2 linked regions of the Arabidopsis thaliana genome follow. The protein of the gene in region 1 binds, or shares a complex with, the protein of each later gene. Each region holds a gene or a part of one and is shown in the gene's direction. Other genes may lie near its edges.

Region 1 (5,796 bases):
CTAGCCAATTGATCGTTTTAACCCATATACATATATAAGACTGTAGAGCAAGTGTTGACGTAAAGTAATTTGTTTGAGTCTCAAAAGAGTTGTTGCTTTCACATACAATCACATTTTACATTTTAGTCAATGTAAACTTATTATTTGGTTGTGGATCGTTTCAATTGCATGCATGCAGCAATGCATGTCATTTGGCTGCATTCCTTAAATGCGAGAAGTATATTCCAACAACTAATGTAAATGAGAAAACTATAAAAAAAAAATTGAAGATGGACACAAATGAACCAGTACTATTGATTTATTTTTCTGTGTGGTAGAATGTTGAGAGTTGTGGCCTTGTATTGTCCACATGAAAGTACACCTGGTCCTCACACGTTCTTATCTTGCAAGTTCATAATTAACACACATATATACCTTTGAAAATAACTCATTAATTTCGACACCATGCATATAAAATACATGATTAGACCTATATATAATTTTCCCAAAAAATGAAAAATATATATAATCAAGTGAAAAAGCATTACCAAAATTACACATCAAATTAAGATGGTCTCTATCGTGTGACAAAGAAAATGTGGTCTCCATATGTATCCTTGAGAATACTGATGATATATGGATTTGGTTGCATTGGTTCAATCTCATTAAAGTTTCGCATACAATCCATTTATGTGTGCGGGCGCATTTTTTTGTAATCATGTAGGCTGGACCGAGAATTTATATTATTCACTGGTTTACAATTTCATGTGAATTCCATAGTGATCAGTAGATATATATATTGATCAGACAAAGTAGATACACATTGATAAAACACGACAAAATGATGTGATATATAAGACAAAGTGACCCAAAATTCGATTGAAAAATTTGGGGTACGTTGATTTGAAAACTCATGAGAGTTTTTTGGGATAGAAACAAAAGGAGAGAAAAGGGTTAAAGAGGAGGATGTAGACAAGGCAAGGAACAAAAGTAGGGTTTAAGATGTTTTCGCCCCTGAATTTTATTTGATGTAACTTGTCCCTTTATCATCTCCATGTTTTTCTTCTTCTCATTAATTTAAATTTTGGCTTTGGAATTTATGGTGATGTTAATTGTACCCTCTCTTCCTTTGGATTTTGATGCCACTCATGTCCCCTCTCATAGATTTTATTAGGGTAGGAATATGCCTTTTTCCCTCTTTATTTTCATATTTATTGAATTTACGTTGGTTAATTATGGTTAGTACGCTTGGTGTTATTTAAACGTCCCGTATTCACAGTTTACGCCTAACTGATTACTTTGAACTAAAACCAGTGTCTAGTAGATCACTAAAGTCGAATTTTGAACGAAAGTTTGAAAATTCGCAAAAGCGCCGTGAAAATACAATTCCAAAACATATCATTTTTGTTTTTGGAAGCGTGATTGATGAAATAAAAACAAAATATGTTTTGGAAGTGCGACAGAATTTGTTTTTTTGTTTAGAAATGCGATAATATAGACAAATTAATAGAAAATGTAATACAAATTTAGGTGCTTTCATAACTACAAAAAAAAAAAAAAACTACCCTATTGTTGAAAACTTTCATACTACAAGAATAACACAAGCAATATAAAAGAAGAAAAATAATTTTCAATAATCAAAAACAGACATTATATTTTAGTAGTCAATTTAATCTGTAAATATCTGTAAAGAAAATTAATCACCAATTTTATTGTTAACTACAAAGTGGTGTTTATAATATTGCAATTTATAGTTTGTTAACTACAAAGTATAAACATTAAAGAGTAATGATGCGTTTTTATGTGTCTAGATACACATTTCGCTGTACGTGTTTATAGGTGAGTTTTTAATCAATAAATATTGAAGATGTACCGTATGCTTTATTTTGTATTGGCATGAGAATAATTATATACAAGAGGGCTGCGCTTTTATTGTGGGATGAATAATTGAATCATGTGGATGTGATATGCATAATTGGAAGGTTCCGGCGAAGAATCTTACGGGGAAAAATAATCAAAATCATGAATATATATTCATTAGTTAATAATTATATTTAGAAGTCAAAAAGCATAATATAGTTATATTAATAATAATGTACATCTCTATTGTAACACTCTCATATGAGATGTCTGCGACCTCGCCACTCAAAAGAATATATATTTATAAACTATACGTTGATATAGTTTTTAAGACCATATGGTATATACATATATTTAGTTAGATACCCCATATCAATTAATCGGTTCATCACCACTTAATTCACTTGGTTGCTTCGAATGTGTTTCATAATTCACTTGTAATTTTAAAATCTTTCCTTCACTTGTGCTTTCGCTTGTAATCTCAAAATGTTATATATCTCTTTTAACGGGAGAAAAACGATTAAAGACGGATTAAAATATATATCCATTTTGTATAGTCAAATGCAATAATATATACATAATCTACAAGATAAATCATAAGAAAGATTCAATAACAGTAATAGAGTAATAACAGTGATTACTGATTAGTCTAAAAGACTAAAACTCGAGGATGATGACTTAATCAAAGGGCTTAGATTCATCCACGTGTCTAAAACCCGTTTAATCAAAGATCTCTTAAATACGACATACACATGCAGCTACCTCCTAGACAGAGATATAATACAGACTCATCTCACTTTGTATTATTTGAGTGTTTTTATAAAACCATTTTTCCATCTTCCTCATCACCTTCCCAAGAAGAAGAACACCAAAGAAGAAGAAAGGTTAATAATGATGGGCAGTGTCGAGCTGAATCTGAGGGAGACTGAGCTGTGTCTTGGTCTTCCCGGTGGAGATACAGTGGCTCCGGTAACCGGAAACAAGAGAGGGTTCTCAGAGACGGTTGATCTGAAGCTAAATCTGAATAATGAGCCTGCAAACAAGGAAGGATCTACGACTCATGACGTCGTGACTTTTGATTCCAAGGAGAAGAGTGCTTGTCCTAAAGATCCAGCCAAACCTCCGGCCAAGTAATTTTACTATTTTGTCCTTTATGATTTATTTTCCACTCTTCTCTACTGCTCTTAATATTAACATTTTTGTAAAGGTGACTGCAAAAAAAAACAGAAATTTCATTAAAGATATATATTTTTCTTCGCCAAAACCATTTTATCATATGTCTACGGTTTTTTTCTCTTCTTAAATCGTCCAATGTCTTAATATATTTAATTATGTTTAACCCATAGTCTCATGCAAGTAAAATTTATGTGACATCACGTCAAAGCTAACTACAGTCTATATCTTGTATAACATAACCGTTTTTCCGTTTTAAAAAAAATATAGGGCACAAGTTGTGGGATGGCCACCGGTGAGATCATACCGGAAGAACGTGATGGTTTCCTGCCAAAAATCAAGCGGTGGCCCGGAGGCGGCGGCGTTCGTGAAGGTATCAATGGACGGAGCACCGTACTTGAGGAAAATCGATTTGAGGATGTATAAAAGCTACGATGAGCTTTCTAATGCTTTGTCCAACATGTTCAGCTCTTTTACCATGGGTACGTTTTATAAGTATATTCCTTATATATATATGTAGATCCTTCCATGCACATTTAGTTACTAATTAATTGTTACTATAGAAAGAAAAATTAATCATCATGATGATAGATCAGTCCCAAATGAATTACCGTTATCGAGTATACAAATATTTCATAATTGAGTAACCCGTTAGTAGTAGTTTAGAAACTGTGAAAAGAAAACTATGTGATAAAATCCAATTGCGAAAAATGTATATTTCATTTGTTGCACCATAAAAGAAAACCACCAAGTTTAAATTCAGGATATCAAGTTCTTATACCTAAGATTATTTTAGGCAAACATGGAGGAGAAGAAGGAATGATAGACTTCATGAATGAGAGGAAATTGATGGATTTGGTGAATAGCTGGGACTATGTTCCCTCTTATGAAGACAAAGACGGTGATTGGATGCTCGTCGGCGACGTTCCTTGGCCGTACGTCTTCTTCTTCTCCCTTATTAATTACCATTTAATTAGAGCTTTATTGTTTCGGTTAAAATTCGAGCTTTATTTTTGTTTATGTCATTTATTTGTTTCTAATAAATAACCATTTGTTTTAATCTTTTTATTTATTAGAATGTTCGTCGATACATGCAAGCGTTTACGTCTCATGAAAGGATCGGATGCCATTGGTCTCGGTATGTATTTTCTACCAATGCATATTATATTCACATTGATTAAATTTTGATTTCAGTTTGTTACCCATTTAAATTAAAATTTACGTGTATATGTATACAATATAGTTAAAATAGCTTACAAAAGAGATTTGCCCCAAAAAGAAAAAAAAAACTTACAAAAGAGCTTAAAAGTTTACTATAATGTACACCTCAACCGCATAACTTGGTCGCCTAAATAATTTAATATGCTATCGTTTAAGATGATGTCTAATCATCAAACGCTTAAACCGTTCATTATTTTTCGCACAATTATATTTCTACCGTAAAGAACAAATTTGTCGAAAGAAAACTTATCGCTTTGATCTTTTAAATCATTGATATAATACATGATATTTGATTCTCTTTTGTCAAATGCAAAAAAAGAAAGAGATTAAATAACAGAGGGAATAAAAAATATACTCTTTTAACAGAATAAATACCGTGGTCAAATGTCTTTGCTTATTAATTGTAAAAATATTTCAGCTCCGAGGGCGATGGAGAAGTGCAAGAGCAGAGCTTGAAGTCAAATTAAAAGGATAAGTGGTATCGATTATATATTTGATTAACACATTGATTGGTGTTAATTGCTCTTTTTTTTCTTACGATGAAATACATTGTTCAGTTTCTTTTGATTGTCTGTGTTTTGATCTGGATTTGGTATGTAGATATAGTTTGTATGCTATTATGTGTAATGAACTTAAGTTAAATATTTGAGACATTTGTAATGGAAAATGTGTAATAATTTGAACATCCTATTCCTATGTATATGTTTGTCTTTATTTATTTATTTTGCCAAAGATGTGTATATTCGTATAAGGAATATGTGATTTTTATTCCACTATGGAAAATTTAATCTCACATTACTTCTCTTTAATTTCAGTCTCTTAATAGTCAGTTATTTTCTAAAGGCAGAACAGTATTCTTTTGGTTCGTCTTGAAAGTGAAACTAAAGATCATAGCGATCGAGTATTTGACCCTAAAGTAAACTTTCCCCAAGTATAATTTCGAAGTCGGTATAATTAGAATTACAATATTACAATATACATATGTTATATCAGATGAATATAATTACAAAAATGGGGAAAATTCACTTTGTTGGTATATTGATTTGTTGGTACTTAAAGTGATAATTGGCTTTGGTTGGAGGAAATAAAATAGAGAAATAGGACCCATAGGGAAGAGAGGGAGCAATGCCATGTGCATATTCATGGGTCTCTTCATTTCATTACCTTTGTTTATCATTTAATTTCCCATTAAATTAATTAGGAATATTAACTTTTATACCAACTAAATTTATTAACAAGGTTATCATAATTATACACAAATATCCTCTCTATAATGAAAAATGAAAAACCACTAGAAATATGGAATTACGTTGTATCCTTTATCACTTTCAGAAATGAGCTACAAGTAATTTATTATTGTCAAGAGATTGCACATGTGTAAAACTTGAAGGTAAAAGACATATATATGCAATAAAATATAGATATATATATATATATATATCGATGACATAATAGATATAGTATAATAACATATAGGGCCCTTTTGGATTAATGGTGTTTACTGGTTATAATGGAGCTATTCTAAGCAGTCCTTATTTAATTTGATGTTTAACGTTAAAAAAA
Region 2 (7,971 bases), 5.8 Mb from region 1:
ATTACTACGATTTATAAGATTTGTACTATATTATGTTACACCAATATGGAAGTATACTTTTTGTGATGATTTAAGAAAGTAAATCTAGTGGCAGTAAGTAAAATTATAATGAAACTGTTTTCTTATGGGATTAATAGGAATCGGTCTTTGCTTTGTTAGTTTGGCAGGAGAGAGAGGTAGGTAAGGATGTGAACTGTGAAGCGCAGAAACGGCGCCGTGTCGGTCCAAAAATCATTTTCAAAATAACATTAAAATACACGTGTCGAGTATGCTAATGTACGCCTCCTCTTCCTCTCTTACTCAACCATTGATTTGCCGTCCACTTCACGCGTGCCTAGCGGTCAAAATTTTCAGACGCAAAAGCACCAAATAATGCTTTTCACTTTCTTTTTTTCTTTCTTCATTTCTTATTCTTGTTTTTTTACAAGTTTCCAATCTACATAAGACAAACTAACGTTTAGGAAGGATTCGGATTGATAATCTGCATACACTTGATTTTGATTGGTATCCTTTTCTTTGCATGTGGTTAAAATTTGGTATGGTAAGAGTTTTTATTTTTATGAATTTAGGATTATTGAAGGCATTGTCACAAATGATATACAGTAGAGAAAAAAAAAAACGATACAAGAGAAAACAATTGATAAGAATGATAAAATTATATCTAGTAAACCTCATCGTGGGATGTTATTCCTCGTTATACGTAATGACTATTTGTTCCAAAGATTTTGCTGATGGCACACAATCTTGGCACCGGAAATGAGAGTTTTTCCATTATCATCAAAAGCATGTTTCACTCCTTGCTAAATTTGAACTGTATATTAAAATGTGCTGCCAACAGCAAATTCCACACATTATATACTTGATTGGAGATCCTTTGATTCAAATATATCTTAGTGACAAACGCGTATCCGAATAAGTAGTTATGTTTATATAGATATTCTATCATAATGATGCTACTATATATCCACTTATAAATTATAATATGTTTGATTATTTTTCTCTAATATGTGATAATGTGGATTGTGTACTAATCCTATATATAACTTAACTATGCTCATTTGTATTTTGTTTATGAGTAATATTACATGAAGGAAAGCGATTTTTATTTACGTATGATTGATAAGTAATGATATGGAAAGTGATATGGTTTCATATCATACAATATAATACAATGACCGCATGTCAATTATTTCGTCGCAAGAAAACAATGGAAAGGTCAAACTAGAGATGTGTGCGTAAAAAAAAAAAATGTATGTAACTAAAAAGGTCTAAAGATGTAATGGTACACACTATACACAATTAGACATAATTACACATGTGGTTTAGAGTATTAGATATTAATAATGAGCAGAACAAGCTATGTTTACAGGTGCAGAGAACCAAGATATTCCTTTCTTTTGGTTGTTGTAGATACAAATATATTTTACAAAGCTCAATTTCAATACAAATGCAAGAACCACAAACAACAGTCCTTTCAATTTATTTGGAGGTGGTCTTAACTCTTAAGTATATATAAACAATACCACCTTATAACTTTTAAGTTTTAACTAAACCATACTTAAATCTTTTTTAATCTCTATACCAAATCTTGCAAATATCAAAATAACTTTTTCTAACCAAAGAAAGAAAACATTTTTGAAGTCCTTAACTTGGAAAGGAAAAGAACACCCGGGCAAAAAAGATTGGAAGATACACTTCCTCCCGTAACCTCTTTAGGCTTCGTGCTAATATACGCTATTTTGACATTCTCTCCTATCATACGCACCTTGTATTAGAGATCTCCCAAAGTCTCACCACTCACATCCCTTTTACGAAATCTCAGCAAGAAAAGATTAACATTTTGAGAAAAGTATATATTATTGCAACGAAAAAAGAAGCCTCCTCCTTTGTCATAAAGTTCTTAATCAATTTTAATTTATTGCCATAATCAAAAAACATTTTATATTTTACAAAGTTCTTGAAAAAGTAGGACACTTTTTAAAATAATATTCACTCATGGTACTTATTTTAAGCTTTATTATCTGCCTTATAACATAAGCATTGAAAGTACTTGTACATTCAACTACGTTTCTGTGCGTATCAGAGATTACGTGTGCTTACTCTACTTTATTAAATTTTTGACGTAAACTGTTCTAAAACATTAAATAATAATATAGATGTATCTATTGAAATACCAAAACTTTATTTTATAATTAATGGGAAACAATAAAATATAATATTATTCGTTTAAAGAGTCTAAAGCTGCAACGGCATCGCCATATACAGAAAGTTTTAAGCGCAGGATAAGAGCATGCACACTCTTTCCCATTTCCAAGCAAAATAAAACCTATACATACACATTTATACTAATACTCATATACATTAGAGAGAGAAGAAGAAAAAATGTGGGATTTTTCAGAGAAATAATTAAAAGAAAGCAAAAGTTTTTTTTTTCTTAAAAGCTTTTGTCTCTCTCTCAATTGCTTCTTGTTCTTGTTTGCATCCGGAACCAAAGAAAGAAACTGTGTGGTTTCATGATGGCACCTTTGGTTTCTCTTCTTCATTGAAGGGTCGAATTTGGTCTGAGAAAAGAAGAGTGGAGAGAGAGAAAGAGAAGAGGCAAGAGCCCCACAAGAGAGACATGCTTGTCTGTGTAGTCCCTATTTTGTATGTTCTTTAATCTCTCCCACTCTGTTTTTGTCATGTGTAAGGGTTTTGTCCTTCGATTTTGGAGTCTTCTTTAACCAAAAAAAAACAGATTCCATGAAATGGCTTTGTCTTTAATTCCTCTGGTTTGTCCTGGATTTATCTTCTTGTAGCCTCTTTGCTCAATAGAGCTCTTTTTGTCTCTTCTTGTATTAAATAAAATAAAATGAAGACTTAGTAAAGAAAAAGAAAAACTCTTGAGTCTTGCTAAAGCCTAGTTAGTGTTGAGTGTGGGAGAGACAAAACAGAACATTGAAAAATCTCTCTGTATGATGGCTTCATTGTCTTGTGTTGAAGACAAGATGAAAACAAGTTGTTTGGTTAATGGTGGAGGAACTATAACAACAACAACATCTCAATCTACCTTGCTTGAAGAGATGAAGCTGTTGAAAGACCAGTCAGGTTTTCATCTTCTTCTTTCTCAAGATTTTTATTAAAAAAGTTACCTTTTTAAGAATAAACTGTGATAACAAAAGGTTTCATAATTTATGCTAATGACATTTAGAAATTTTGTTACTTTCCCCTAAAAATGCGATTTTGAACATTTTTCAGGTACAAGAAAGCCGGTAATAAACTCGGAGCTATGGCACGCTTGTGCAGGCCCTTTGGTGTGTCTCCCTCAAGTTGGGAGCTTAGTGTATTACTTCTCACAAGGTCATAGCGAGCAGGTAACTTTGTGTGTCTTAAAGAACAAACAAACACATTGTACTTCTCTAGATCTTGTTAGCTCCTGTTCAAAAGGTTTGATTTTTTTTGTTCACTTTTTGACTTATTAGGTTGCTGTTTCAACCAGAAGATCAGCAACAACACAAGTTCCTAATTATCCGAACCTTCCATCTCAGTTGATGTGTCAAGTCCATAATGTTACTCTTCATGTACGCCAATCTTTCTCATTTGCTTCGTATCCAAACAAATTGCAACCAAGTTTGATATTTCTTGACAATGGTTTTGTTCCCCTTTGATAGGCTGACAAAGACAGTGACGAAATCTATGCTCAGATGAGTCTTCAACCTGTTCACTCTGTAAGTTTTGGATTCTTGCAACTTCCTTTTGTTTCATTTAAGAACTCATGTTGAAGTTGAATGAGTTTGAATGGTTTGTGTGCATCAGGAGAGAGATGTGTTCCCTGTACCAGACTTTGGAATGCTGAGAGGAAGTAAGCACCCGACTGAGTTTTTCTGCAAAACACTTACTGCAAGTGACACAAGCACACATGGAGGTTTCTCAGTGCCACGTAGAGCTGCAGAGAAGCTATTTCCACCATTGGTGAGCTTCTCTTTTCCTCATATGTTCCTATTGCTTTAACTGCTGCTAGCCTGCTAATGTTATGTTAAATACATTGCAGGACTACTCAGCACAGCCGCCAACGCAAGAGCTTGTAGTTCGAGATCTTCATGAGAATACTTGGACATTTCGCCATATCTACCGAGGTATAACCACTAGATTTGTCTCTTTCTCTGTTTAGATTGAGTTGGTATTGAGCTCAGTTCCTGCTTACATTCTCAGGGCAACCAAAGAGACATCTCCTAACTACAGGATGGAGTTTGTTCGTTGGATCGAAGAGATTGAGAGCTGGGGATTCTGTTTTGTTCATCAGGTGAAAAACCTTGGCTATTGAGATATTTTGGCTCTGACTCATTTTGGTGTTGCTTATCTTCTGACTGTCATTTGTCCTTTGAAAATGTGCCAAAAGGGATGAGAAGTCACAACTTATGGTCGGTGTTAGGCGTGCCAATCGCCAACAAACAGCACTTCCTTCATCAGTTCTCTCAGCGGATAGTATGCACATCGGTGTTCTTGCTGCTGCTGCTCACGCAACCGCCAACCGTACTCCTTTTTTGATATTCTATAATCCAAGGTTAGCTCAAAAGCTTCTTCAATCCTCAATGATATAAAACTATTTTCTTAGTTGTAACGTAACTTATGGTGTTTGTTCTCAGAGCTTGTCCAGCAGAGTTCGTGATCCCTCTAGCTAAGTACCGTAAGGCGATATGCGGGTCTCAGCTCTCAGTTGGTATGAGATTTGGAATGATGTTTGAAACTGAAGATTCCGGGAAACGAAGGTAAGTTATCCGTAAACTGCAATCTTTCTGTTTTTGTTTATCAAATTTGGTTGTTCACTTATACACGTTTTGGTTGTGTATTTAGGTACATGGGAACTATTGTTGGAATCAGCGATTTGGATCCGTTGAGATGGCCTGGTTCTAAGTGGCGTAACCTTCAGGTAGAATGGGATGAGCCTGGATGTAATGATAAACCTACTCGGGTCAGTCCATGGGATATCGAAACACCTGAAAGTCTCTTCATTTTTCCTTCTCTGACCTCAGGACTCAAACGTCAGCTCCATCCATCTTACTTTGGTGAGTAAAATATAAGTGTGCCTTGTTGTGAACTTTACATGAGATTTGCTGCCTTAAAGTTTTGTTATGAAATATGCAGCTGGTGAAACTGAATGGGGTAGCTTGATAAAACGGCCACTTATACGTGTTCCTGATTCCGCGAATGGGATTATGCCATATGCATCTTTCCCTAGTATGGCTTCGGAGCAGCTTATGAAAATGATGATGAGGCCTCACAACAACCAAAATGTACCATCTTTCATGTCTGAGATGCAGCAGAATATTGTAATGGGGAATGGAGGTTTGCTAGGAGATATGAAGATGCAGCAACCCCTGATGATGAACCAGAAATCTGAGATGGTGCAGCCACAAAACAAGCTAACAGTGAACCCATCTGCTTCTAATACGAGTGGCCAAGAACAGAATCTTTCACAGAGTATGAGTGCTCCTGCTAAACCTGAGAACTCTACACTCTCTGGTTGCAGCTCTGGTAGAGTCCAACATGGACTTGAGCAGTCAATGGAACAGGCAAGCCAGGTTACTACATCCACAGTGTGTAATGAGGAAAAGGTTAATCAGCTACTTCAGAAACCGGGTGCTTCGTCGCCTGTACAAGCTGATCAATGTCTTGACATTACTCATCAGATTTACCAACCACAGTCTGATCCAATAAATGGATTCTCTTTCCTGGAAACTGATGAGCTGACATCACAAGTCTCTTCCTTCCAGTCTCTTGCCGGATCATACAAGCAACCATTCATTCTATCCTCCCAGGATTCTTCAGCTGTTGTGTTACCGGATTCCACAAACTCACCGCTGTTTCATGATGTGTGGGACACTCAGTTGAACGGTCTCAAGTTTGACCAGTTCAGTCCCTTGATGCAGCAGGACCTTTATGCTAGTCAGAATATCTGTATGAGTAATAGCACAACCAGTAACATTCTAGATCCTCCACTCTCAAACACAGTCCTTGATGACTTCTGTGCCATCAAAGACACTGATTTCCAGAACCACCCTTCTGGTTGTTTGGTTGGAAACAACAACACTAGCTTTGCTCAAGATGTCCAGTCGCAGATCACATCAGCTAGCTTTGCAGACTCACAGGCCTTCTCTCGCCAAGATTTTCCAGATAATTCTGGAGGCACTGGTACATCTTCAAGCAATGTTGATTTTGATGATTGTAGTCTGCGGCAAAATAGTAAAGGCTCATCATGGCAGAAAATTGCGACACCCCGCGTCCGAACCTACACTAAGGTAAAAAGATTATCTCTCATTCATTCCACAAATTTCTTGTGTCACAATCTGACATGAAACTTTGGGGTTTGGGTAATGTTTTGACTTGGCAGGTTCAAAAAACCGGGTCAGTCGGGAGATCAATTGATGTCACAAGCTTTAAAGACTACGAGGAGCTAAAATCTGCTATCGAATGCATGTTTGGATTGGAAGGACTACTAACTCACCCACAAAGCTCGGGTTGGAAGCTTGTATATGTTGATTATGAGAGTGATGTTCTGCTTGTAGGAGATGATCCATGGGAGTAAGTCTCTCTCTCACTGTTCTGTGAATCCATTAACTTCATCTGACTATCAGTCTTACAATAGTTTTCCTTACATAACTACATAAACTGGTGCAGAGAGTTTGTGGGATGCGTAAGGTGCATAAGGATATTGTCGCCAACTGAGGTCCAGCAGATGAGTGAAGAAGGGATGAAGCTTTTGAACAGCGCAGGCATTAACGATCTTAAGACTTCTGTTTCATAAATGTAACAATATAAAAATGATCTCATGCTGATTTGTAAGAAAAAAAAGAGAGTAAGAAATGTTCTTTTCTCCAACTGGTAGAGGAGAAACCATCTTGTTGTAAGCATTTGATGTGTTGTTCCGATTTGAGACCTGAAACTATATTCATATTATGTAGTAGAGTGATGAATGAATCAGTAGTTGAGACAGTCTTAGAAATCTTGTGATTATTTTACTCTTTTTTCTGCACAATGTTAAAGATAAAAGTGTAGAAAATCATCTTAAAAACACTAGGGATAGTATAAGTACTACTGTGATGGTGAGCCAAATAATACTCGCTAATTAATTCTACATTTGTGGCATAAAACCAAGAAATAATTTCAAATGTATATAAAACTTATATTGCAGTAAAGCCAGGCAAGAGAAAATAGAAAAATTGCTCTGCTGCTAACAGCAAGAGGCAGAGAGCATGTGTGGTATGCTAATTCTGCATCAGTCTCTGTCAAATCTCATTCTTTTTGCATTCTGCATATCAGAAGTGTTGATATTACCATTGTTTAGATTCCTCGGCTGGTAGGGTGTAGCATCGTGCTGGTACATACAATTAGCTCCATGGCGACAACCCCTTGCGCTGTTGAAGTACATGCAAGCCTTCATTATCTTGGGTTTTGAATCCCTTGGCCTCTGGTTATTATTACTGCTATTTACCATCTCCGGGTTAGGTCCTCCTCCAGGTTGGAGGTTGTATCGATAACCGAGATGTTGAACTGGCGGCGTCTCTTGTCTATCCCCGCCATGTTGCTGAATCAGGTTCTTGTAATAACTAGCATCTCTTGCTGGCGGTGCTCCATAGTTCGGTTGGTCTTGAGGAGCGTGAGGAGTATACGCCATGGGAGGAATATGAGTTATGGGTGGCTGAGCGTAAAATTGTCCATTTGAGGAAATAGGTGCCGTGGTTACTACTCCGTTGGCTTCATGTGTTGAAGATGAGTAGAGGCTACTTGTGTTGGAGGAGACTGAACCTGCACTGCCACGATTTGCAACAAGATTCTCGACCAACTTAGGGTTGCTTAGGATTTTAATAAGCAGATCTTGGTCGATCATACTGCCTTGTTCTTTGCTGTTTGAGATTGCAGATAACGCAGCCATTATATCTGGCCCTGCAGGGAGGGTTGAAGAAGTTGATGTGTTCTCATCGGTTATTGATG

What was found. Proteins that work in one complex are often made in the same cells at the same time.
Region 2: the proteins of AXR3 (region 1) and MP are in contact, whole or in part, in a crystal structure (PDB 6L5K), measured with the Arabidopsis thaliana proteins. Residues at the interface, in NP_171921.1 of Arabidopsis thaliana: Phe112 (codon at 3,377), Lys114 (codon at 3,383), Gly119 (codon at 3,398), Ala120 (codon at 3,401), Pro121 (codon at 3,404), Tyr122 (codon at 3,407), Leu123 (codon at 3,410), Arg124 (codon at 3,413), Lys125 (codon at 3,416), Phe148 (codon at 3,485), Arg205 (codon at 4,111); in NP_173414.1 of Arabidopsis thaliana: Lys842 (codon at 6,503), Val844 (codon at 6,509), Asp847 (codon at 6,518), Glu849 (codon at 6,524), Asp851 (codon at 6,530), Val852 (codon at 6,533), Leu853 (codon at 6,536), Leu854 (codon at 6,539), Asp857 (codon at 6,548), Asp858 (codon at 6,551), Pro859 (codon at 6,554), Val878 (codon at 6,707), Met881 (codon at 6,716), Ser882 (codon at 6,719), Glu883 (codon at 6,722).

The regions. Positions count from the first base shown.
Region 1 is NC_003070.9:1,133,652-1,139,447, forward strand, and holds AXR3 (AUX/IAA transcriptional regulator family protein), read left to right. Parts: upstream 1-2,426; 5' UTR 2,427-2,730; coding exon 2,731-2,969; intron 2,970-3,282; coding exon 3,283-3,494; intron 3,495-3,808; coding exon 3,809-3,947; intron 3,948-4,088; coding exon 4,089-4,150; intron 4,151-4,651; coding exon 4,652-4,689; 3' UTR 4,690-5,012; downstream 5,013-5,796. UniProt on the Arabidopsis thaliana protein: Aux/IAA proteins are short-lived transcriptional factors that function as repressors of early auxin response genes at low auxin concentrations.
Region 2 is NC_003070.9:6,884,399-6,892,369, forward strand, and holds MP (Transcriptional factor B3 family protein / auxin-responsive factor AUX/IAA-like protein), read left to right. Parts: upstream 1-2,270; 5' UTR 2,271-2,954; coding exon 2,955-3,087; intron 3,088-3,237; coding exon 3,238-3,353; intron 3,354-3,461; coding exon 3,462-3,560; intron 3,561-3,650; coding exon 3,651-3,707; intron 3,708-3,795; coding exon 3,796-3,951; intron 3,952-4,030; coding exon 4,031-4,115; intron 4,116-4,191; coding exon 4,192-4,282; intron 4,283-4,378; coding exon 4,379-4,543; intron 4,544-4,625; coding exon 4,626-4,748; intron 4,749-4,833; coding exon 4,834-5,045; intron 5,046-5,124; coding exon 5,125-6,278; intron 6,279-6,370; coding exon 6,371-6,561; intron 6,562-6,657; coding exon 6,658-6,784; 3' UTR 6,785-7,006; downstream 7,007-7,971. Other genes in the region: AT1G19860 (Zinc finger C-x8-C-x5-C-x3-H type family protein), read right to left, coding at 7,256-7,971. UniProt on the Arabidopsis thaliana protein: Auxin response factors (ARFs) are transcriptional factors that bind specifically to the DNA sequence 5'-TGTCTC-3' found in the auxin-responsive promoter elements (AuxREs). Seems to act as transcriptional activator.